Macaca mulatta: one gene and its partner. The protein of the gene in region 1 purifies or fractionates together with the protein of each later gene. This does not show direct contact. Links are inferred from orthologs where the notes say so. Each region holds a gene or a part of one and is shown on either strand. Other genes may lie near its edges.

The links.
Region 2: the proteins of H1-2 (region 1) and WDR5 purify together in Homo sapiens (affinity purification with mass spectrometry; 3 studies listed by BioGRID, with this or other methods). This does not show direct contact. The link is inferred for Macaca mulatta from reciprocal best matches to the Homo sapiens genes H1-2 and WDR5.

Annotation. Positions count from the first base shown.
Region 1 is NC_133409.1:157,052,067-157,055,497, reverse strand, and holds H1-2 (histone H1.2), read right to left. Parts: upstream 2,267-3,431; 5' UTR 2,225-2,266; coding exon 1,583-2,224; 3' UTR 551-1,582; downstream 1-550. UniProt on the Homo sapiens protein: Histone H1 protein binds to linker DNA between nucleosomes forming the macromolecular structure known as the chromatin fiber. Histones H1 are necessary for the condensation of nucleosome chains into higher-order structured fibers.
Region 2 is NC_133420.1:8,377,314-8,381,363, forward strand, and holds the start of WDR5 (WD repeat-containing protein 5), read right to left. Parts: upstream 2,830-4,050; 5' UTR 2,783-2,829; coding exon 2,694-2,782; exon of another isoform or gene 2,566-2,693; coding exon 2,402-2,565; intron 2,162-2,401; exon of another isoform or gene 2,043-2,161; intron 1,988-2,042; exon of another isoform or gene 1,293-1,987; intron 1-1,292.

The sequences.
Region 1 (3,431 bases):
GTGGGAATGACTAAAGGAATAAAACCGAAACCTGAGACAGTCCAACTGTCCATGAAATTTTAGCCTATTAGCCTATGACAAAAATAGCCAAAATTGATAGGAGTGTGGAGGGTGACACGGAAGGAAGAAGGGGGAAGCAGAAATGAAAGTTCATAAATGGTCTTGGGAGAAAATATGTCCATATATTAAACCTTACACCAAAATAGAGTTCACCATGTAAACCGTGTTGTAATGTAAAATTAACAACACAAAATTACTTAACCCATGGGAGAATGCTTTTTCCTTCTTCCCTGCCTCTGCCTCCCTGTCTCTCTGCTTGCCTCCCTCCCCTTTCTCCCTTTCTTGGGATGAATCCGTGGTCACTATCACTAACAGAGAAATTAACTCACTACATTCATCATTGTGGAGATGGTAGAATAACTGAGCAGCTTATCTCCAGAAGTCCCGGTCCACATAATTTAGGTCTCACCGAAATGTGCCTATCAGATTTTAAAAGAACCGAATATAAGACGCTAGGTTTTCTGTATTCAGAAGCACCATGGGTGTCAAATAGAGGGAACCATTAACGAAGGCCTTTATTAGAAATGTCTCTCATTTATCCATATACTTTAGTTAATAGTACAAATCGTTCTCCGCGTAGAAACACTTGGACTGCCAAACAAAATGTGTTTAAAAGAACTTCGATTTTTAAATGTTGATGTCTGCCTAAACTGAGGATAAGTAACCGTCAAGCGAGGACAAAATGGCTGGCTAAAAGTTGTGCTTTCGATACGCTCAAAATCGATACGCTCAAATCTGTCAGTTTAGCGGAACACTACATGCATGATATGAGAAACAAAAAGCTCCCTAGGTCCACGATTGCCTTGGGTGGAGGAAGGGCTATTGCCGCTGTTTATTCAAATGCATTCCTTTGTTACCACAGGAATGAGAAATTAACAGCAGAGGAATGTAGGACAAAGGTACCTGCACGCACTCTCCTCCCAGGGCTGGATGTTGCCACTACCTCCAGGAGATACCAACTTGACTACCTACAACATGGAAAGCGTCCGAAATCCCGAACGTTAATATCAAGAGGCAAAACTTTCAAGTCACAGAGAAGCAACACACACGGAATAAGCAACGTCTGCCACCATCCAATTAAATATAGAATTAAAGTCATGGACTAGAACGACGGACCAACCCAGGAGCAGGGCGGGACTTTTGAATTATTTTTTAGTCCAATCCGGATATCCCTTTAGACGAAGAAACTGGCTCTTGTTTTGCGATCTTTTCTGCCTTTCACAGGCCTGGGGCGTGGCTGACTGCCATCCCAAAAACATCCGCCAGCGGGAAACGCCTCGAAGCAGCAGTCAGGGACATGGAAGTCGCAGTAAAGGTTTAAGCGCCGTAACCTCACCACGGCCACTCTCGAACCCCCGTTACTTATTTGTCTTATAAGGTTCCCGTTCGACTAACCTTAAGGAGCAGGGTCGAGCAAGAAAAGGAACAAGGGCAACTAAGAAAAACAAGTATCCAGCTCTTTTATTGAGATCAGTGGTGGCTCTGAAAAGAGCCTTTTGGGTTTTTTGAAGCAGGCGTCCACCTATTTCTTCTTGGGTGCCGCCTTCTTAGGCTTGACAACCTTGGGCTTGGCGGCCTTGGGCTTCACGGACTTAGCAGCACTTTTGGCAGCTTTCTTGGGCTTCGCAACCTTGGCCTTCTTTGGGCTCTTGGCCACTTTCTTGGTCACAGTGGCCGCGGCCGGCTTCTTCGCCTTCTTCGGTGTTTTCTTAGCGCTCTTCTTCGGGGTAGCGCCGCCAGTCGCCTTCCTAGGCTTCTTAGCTGCCCCAACCGGCTTCTTAGGCTTGGCTGCGCCCACCTTCTTAACCTTGGGCTTGGTTTCGCCGGAGGCTGCCTTCTTGTTAAGTTTGAAGGAACCAGAAGCACCGGTGCCCTTAGTCTGCACCAGAGTGCCCTTGCTCACCAGACTCTTGAGACCAAGTTTGATTCGGCTGTTGTTTTTCTCCACATCATAGCCGGCGGCAGCCAACGCTTTTTTCAAAGCAGCAAGAGAAACCCCGCTGCGCTCTTTAGAGGCTGCCACCGCCTTGGTGATGAGCTCTGACACCGGGGGACCAGATGCCTTACGAGGCGGCCCCCCAGATTTCTTGGCTGTTTTCTTCTTTACGGGGACTTTCTCCGCCGGAGGCGCGGCAGCGGGAGCGACAGGAGCAGTCTCGGACATGTTGAGGATCAACAACTCGGGTACAAGTGGCAAAGCGCCGATGAAACAGCGCTTGGGCAGGGCCGCTGTATATATAGAGCGCAGGAGCGCTCTGATTGGTGCTCTGGTGGCCCGCCTGGCTGGCAGGCTCTGAGTCGCTGCGCTGCTCCCAAGTTGTGTTTGTTCCACCTCACAAAAGGGGAAAAATATTAAAATTCCCTGCACCAAATCACCCGGATTTGGTCAGGAAAGGATCTCAGAAGCCTCGGGCTTCAGGCTTTTCATTTATTTTTTCCACAACCACAAAAACAACGCGTCCAGGCGTCCCCAATTCCCCCAACTCCGAAGGAAGTCTGGGGCAGTCAGAGACCACTTTCTGTTTTTCTTATAAATTACCTGTTCGCTCCTTTGCCCCTGAAAGTTCTTTTTCCCAGGGGTGGTTGGGCACATGCTTCCCTTATTTTTGAAAAAAAAAGCGAAATGGTTTCCACCTAAATTTTCATGATAATTCTGTTTCTTCACAAGGGAAGTAACACAGGTCCTGTGTGAATTCTTCCTGCAGACGCACAGGAACTGTGGACTGGGACAAGGATTCCAGGGCCAGTCCAAAGTAATTAGGGAGGGATGGGAGGGGGTTCATGAGCCTTGGTAGGGTCCGGTGTGGTGGGGGGCTAGAGACTTAAATCTTTGATTTGAAGACATTGAAACCATCAAATCCTTCTTTTCATAGATGGGGGCGGGGCATCCTTTTCACTTCTCTACAGGCGAGAAATTGGGCTCTTTTTAAAAAGCTCTGAGGTCCCCCTCTGAGTTGTGTAAGGCAGGAGGTCTGGCTCTCAAGATAGAGATAATAAAGGAACAAGGGAGATCCCTTAAGCCTGCAAAGAAAGCCAATAGATTTGGCAGTTAGAGGCACTGAGATAATATGTTTTCAAAGAAAACAAGCATTTATTTATTTATTTATTTTTGTACATTGCAATATTAGAGATGAATTTCAGCCCATGAAAATTAGAGGTTACTTTCAATAACCACACCTTACACAAGTTACCGTACAGGACAATCTCCAGTTTGAAACTCAAATATATCTTTGAATTGCAAATAAAGCAACTGACTTTAATAAAACAAACTCTTGACTTTTAAGATGAACAATATATTTGAAATTTATTTTTTAAATAGCAAAAATTTACACAGAAAGATAGGAAAAGTACCAGAACATGTAATTTATTAT
Region 2 (4,050 bases), on another chromosome or scaffold:
TAGGTGAGGGTAGACACCTGGAAACACCCTCACATGAGGAACAACAGGTAGGCGGTCTTACAAAAAAGGTGCCCAGCCCCTCCCAGCTCAAGCCCAACCTGCCCAACCCTTTGGGCTCAAAAACCATTAACATTTAAAAGAAACAAACAAAACAACCTTAACCTGACTTTTAAGAATACAGTGGCAGGGTGTGGTGACTGACGCCTGTAATCTCAGCACTTTGGGAGGCCAAGGCAGGAGGCGGGCAGATCCTGAGGCCAGGAGATAAAGACCAGCCTGGCCAACATGGAGAAACCCCGTCCCAACTAAAAATACAAAAATTAGCCGGTGTGGTGGCGGGTCCCTGTAATCCCAGCTACTTGGGAAGGCTGAGGCAGAAGAATCGCTTGAAATTGGAAGGCAGAGATAGCAGTGAACCAAGATTGCACCACTGCACTCCAGCCTGGGCCAAAGAGTGAAAAATTCCGTGGTGGTGGTGGTAGGGGGAGAGATGCAATTTCTTGACCCAACACACCTGCCAAGTTTCTACCTCAGTAGTGGCATCTAGGCTTGGCATTTTTTTTTTTTTTTTTTAAGACAGAGTCCAAAGAGTCCAGCGGAACGATATCGGCTCACTACAACCTCCACCTTCCGGGTTCAAGTAATTATTGTGCCTCAGCCTCCTGTGTAGCTGGAATTACAGGTGCGTACCACTACACCCTGCTACTTTTTTGTATTTTTAGTAGAGACAGGGTTTCGCCATGTTGCCCAGGCTGATCTCGAACTCCTGACCTCAGAAAATCCGCCCGCCTCAGCCTCCCAAAGTGCTAGGACTACAGGCGTGAGCCACCGCGCTGGGCCAAGGCTTGGCATTTTCATGACCAACCAGGTGTCTCTGTGGAACAATCATTTTGAGGGAACAGGAAGGTTGGAGACTTGATACTGAGGAAAGGGGGGGGACCGAGGTTACAGGCACGGTGATGAGGAGGTGACCTCTAGACCAGCTGCTGCCTGACTCCACCTAGCAGCCACTGCTTTTCATCCAGGTAAGCCTGACCACCTGAAGCCCAGCAACCAAATCTCAGTATGGCCTCCTGGACTGCATGCCACAGGCTGATGCCTGAGTCCCTCAGTCCCTGAGATCCAGCCCAGGAACCTGCCTGCGGCGTGCAGTCAGGAGAGCACACTGTGTGCAAAGACAAGAATTAATCTGCATCTTCAACACCAGCCAGGTGGCCAGCCCAACACAGGTGGGAACCCGGCTCTACCTCTCTGAGATCCTGGACAGGCTTCCGCCTGGGTCCTTCGCTTACCTGTCTTCCCCACCGGCTAGCACAGCACCTGCCCAGGTCACAGATTAAACTAGCATTTGAAGAGATGGGTAAACGGACCTGGGTGAGTGGAAACTTGCAAGCGAGACAGCAGGGAGTGTCGTTAGCGATAAATAACAGGCCGACCTCAGTTTGGTCCCGGAACGTAACCGCTCAAAATGGCTCTCGCAGATCGGCCAGGACAGGTCTGCGGCCCCGCGCGAGGAGGCACGGTGGGCCCCCCGTTTAGGACCGAGGACCCGCACCCCAGGACCCCACCTAGCGAACTGCAGCCTGGCTACCTCGGGTTGGGGTGAGCGGCGGGAGCGGGCTGGGGGCGTTTCTACGAGGAGGGGAAGCGCACCACGTCCAGGGACTGAGTGGCTTGGTGGGTCTGGGGTCCTTCCTTGAAGGGGCAGAGGAGGAAGAGGGGCGATGTGAGGCCGGTACGCCGCCTGCGGGAAAGAGGCCCCAGTGCCGGCGCTCTGGCCTTGTCAGTGGCCCGCCGGGGAAGCGGAGGTGGGGGCGCGAGTGGGGGCGGACGGGGTGGAGGGGCCTACGCGCGCAGCCGTCCACCGAGAGGCCAGGGCGGGGGTCCCGGGCGGGGCCGCTGCAGCTGGAGCAGCGCCCGGGGCTGGGCCTGGCCCGAGGCCCGGCGGGGAACACGTGCGGCGGCCGGGGGTGGTTTGGCGGCTCCTGGCGCCGCCCCGCTGCCCGCCTTGCGCTCCCCGGGCCGGGCGGCTACCCGCTTACCTGCCGGGCCGCGGCGGCGGGGCCGGGCGCTCGGGGCGTCGCGTCGGCCGCCGCCTGGGCGGGAGCGCGGACTCAGCTCGACGAGGCGGCAGCTCGGGCGGGCGCCAGGCGGCGGGGGCGCAGTGCGCGTGCGCGAGGGGAGGGGGGCGGTGTCCTGGGGGCGGGGCGAGCTCACAAAGCCGGCCTCTCGGAGGAGCGCTACGGGCAGCGGCAGCGGCCAGAATGCCTCGGGCCGGCCCAACGCTTTAAAGGGACAGCACGGGGCGCGTGCTTCCCGCTTAAAAGCTTTAATCCCCGAATTTGGCTGGTGCAGGCCCTCCTAATGTACTTCCTAAAAATTGAAGTATAATGATACATACAGGAAAGTGCTAGTGTGCCCTCGCGTTTCCACAGACAGCACGCCCTGCACAAAGACACAAGCGGCCTTCCGGGACCTGCGCAGATGGCGTCGCCCGGCGTTGTCCCCGGAGTCAAGTCGGACCGGGGCACCTCCCCGGGCGACCAGGCCCCTTCTTGATCATCGCTGGTACGGATGAGAGCAGCAGTGGGCATTTGGAAAACACCCGGGACCGCTCCCGGGCGCAGTGCCCCCATGTGGCCTCCCACCCCAGGCAGGTAGGACGACTCCTGCCCATTTGGAAGACCAGGAACCTGCGCGTTCGTTCACAGGGTTCGGAAGCCCGGGCTGCGCCTTCCCGCTGGGCCGGCTGCCGGGCTGCGGGCGCTTCCCGCCTCTGCATGCAGAGCCCGCGGTGCACGAACCTGCTCCCCGCCAGCCCCGCGGACTGGCAGAGCCGCGCTGGAGTCACTCCGCAGTGCGCAAACTCACTTCGCAGCGGGCTCTCTGGGGGCCAACCCTTCCCTCCTGGGCGGGCATTTTCTCCTCCAGGTACAACGGGGTGGTCCCCAGAGGAGGACTCAGGGTCTTAAGGAGAAGCTGAGGCCCGGTCCTCTGGCCTCGACGACTGCACATTCTCGCCTGCTTCACTTCGTAGAGCCTTGGAGGTAGGCACGGCCTCCCTATCCCCTCAGCTAGGCCTGTGGGTAGAATAACGCAGTCCCTTATTCTCCAATTAAAAATGGGAACACAGAATGTGACACAGGAACCCGTGCAAACAAAAGGACAGAGCGTTTGAAATAAAGATGCCAAGGAGGGTGAGGTGAGCGGTTGTCAGAGAGGTGGAACCGGAAGACTGGCAGTTGGTCTGGAGTCCCCTTCCCAGGAAGGACACAGAGAAGGCGAGGTCCCTGTCTGGTCCTTCAGGGCTCCAGGTGGATCTGTGTGCCCAAAAGGCTTGATCCCTTGGGCCAGGTGCCCTGGAGCATGGAGTAGTGACAGTCACAGGTTAGCAAACCCAGTTCGGAGAAAGAAGCTCATCTCTATCTCTGGCCGCCTGGGCCGGAATCCCGAGCCCCTGACAGGCTGCTCTCCCTTCCACCCCGCCTCAGCTCTCAGATCGTCCACTTCTCTCCCTCCTCACCCCAGCCCTACCTCCCACCCGGGTCTTTTTTAAACCTGCAGACAGAGAAACTCCTAAAAATCCAGCTCTGATCTGTCACTCCCCAGTTTAAAACTCAGAACCAGCTTCCCATTGTCCTCAATTCCCAAATTCCCACTGCCCAATTCGGGTAAAGTGCTTACCAGACCCCGCCTCCTTTTCCAAACTACCGCCGCCTCCCAAACTGCAGCCCGCGTTCCAGCCCCAAAACAAAAGTATTTCCAGTCCTTCAGCCCTCCAGGCGAAGCAAGATAAGGGGCTGGACCCCAGAACTATCAGAACTCAAACCAGGTTCCCAGCTTCCACTTCCAGGTGAATTGATCTCACCACCCCATCCCACCCCCAGGAGATAGAGCCTTCTAGTAAAAACGAGATAATCCCACCTGGCGCGGTGGCTCACGCCTGTAATCCCAGTACTTTGGGAGGCTGAGGGGAGTGGATCACCTGAGGTCGGGATCACCTGAGTCTGAGGCTGAGGCAGGTGGATCACCTGAGGGTGAGGCAGGAGA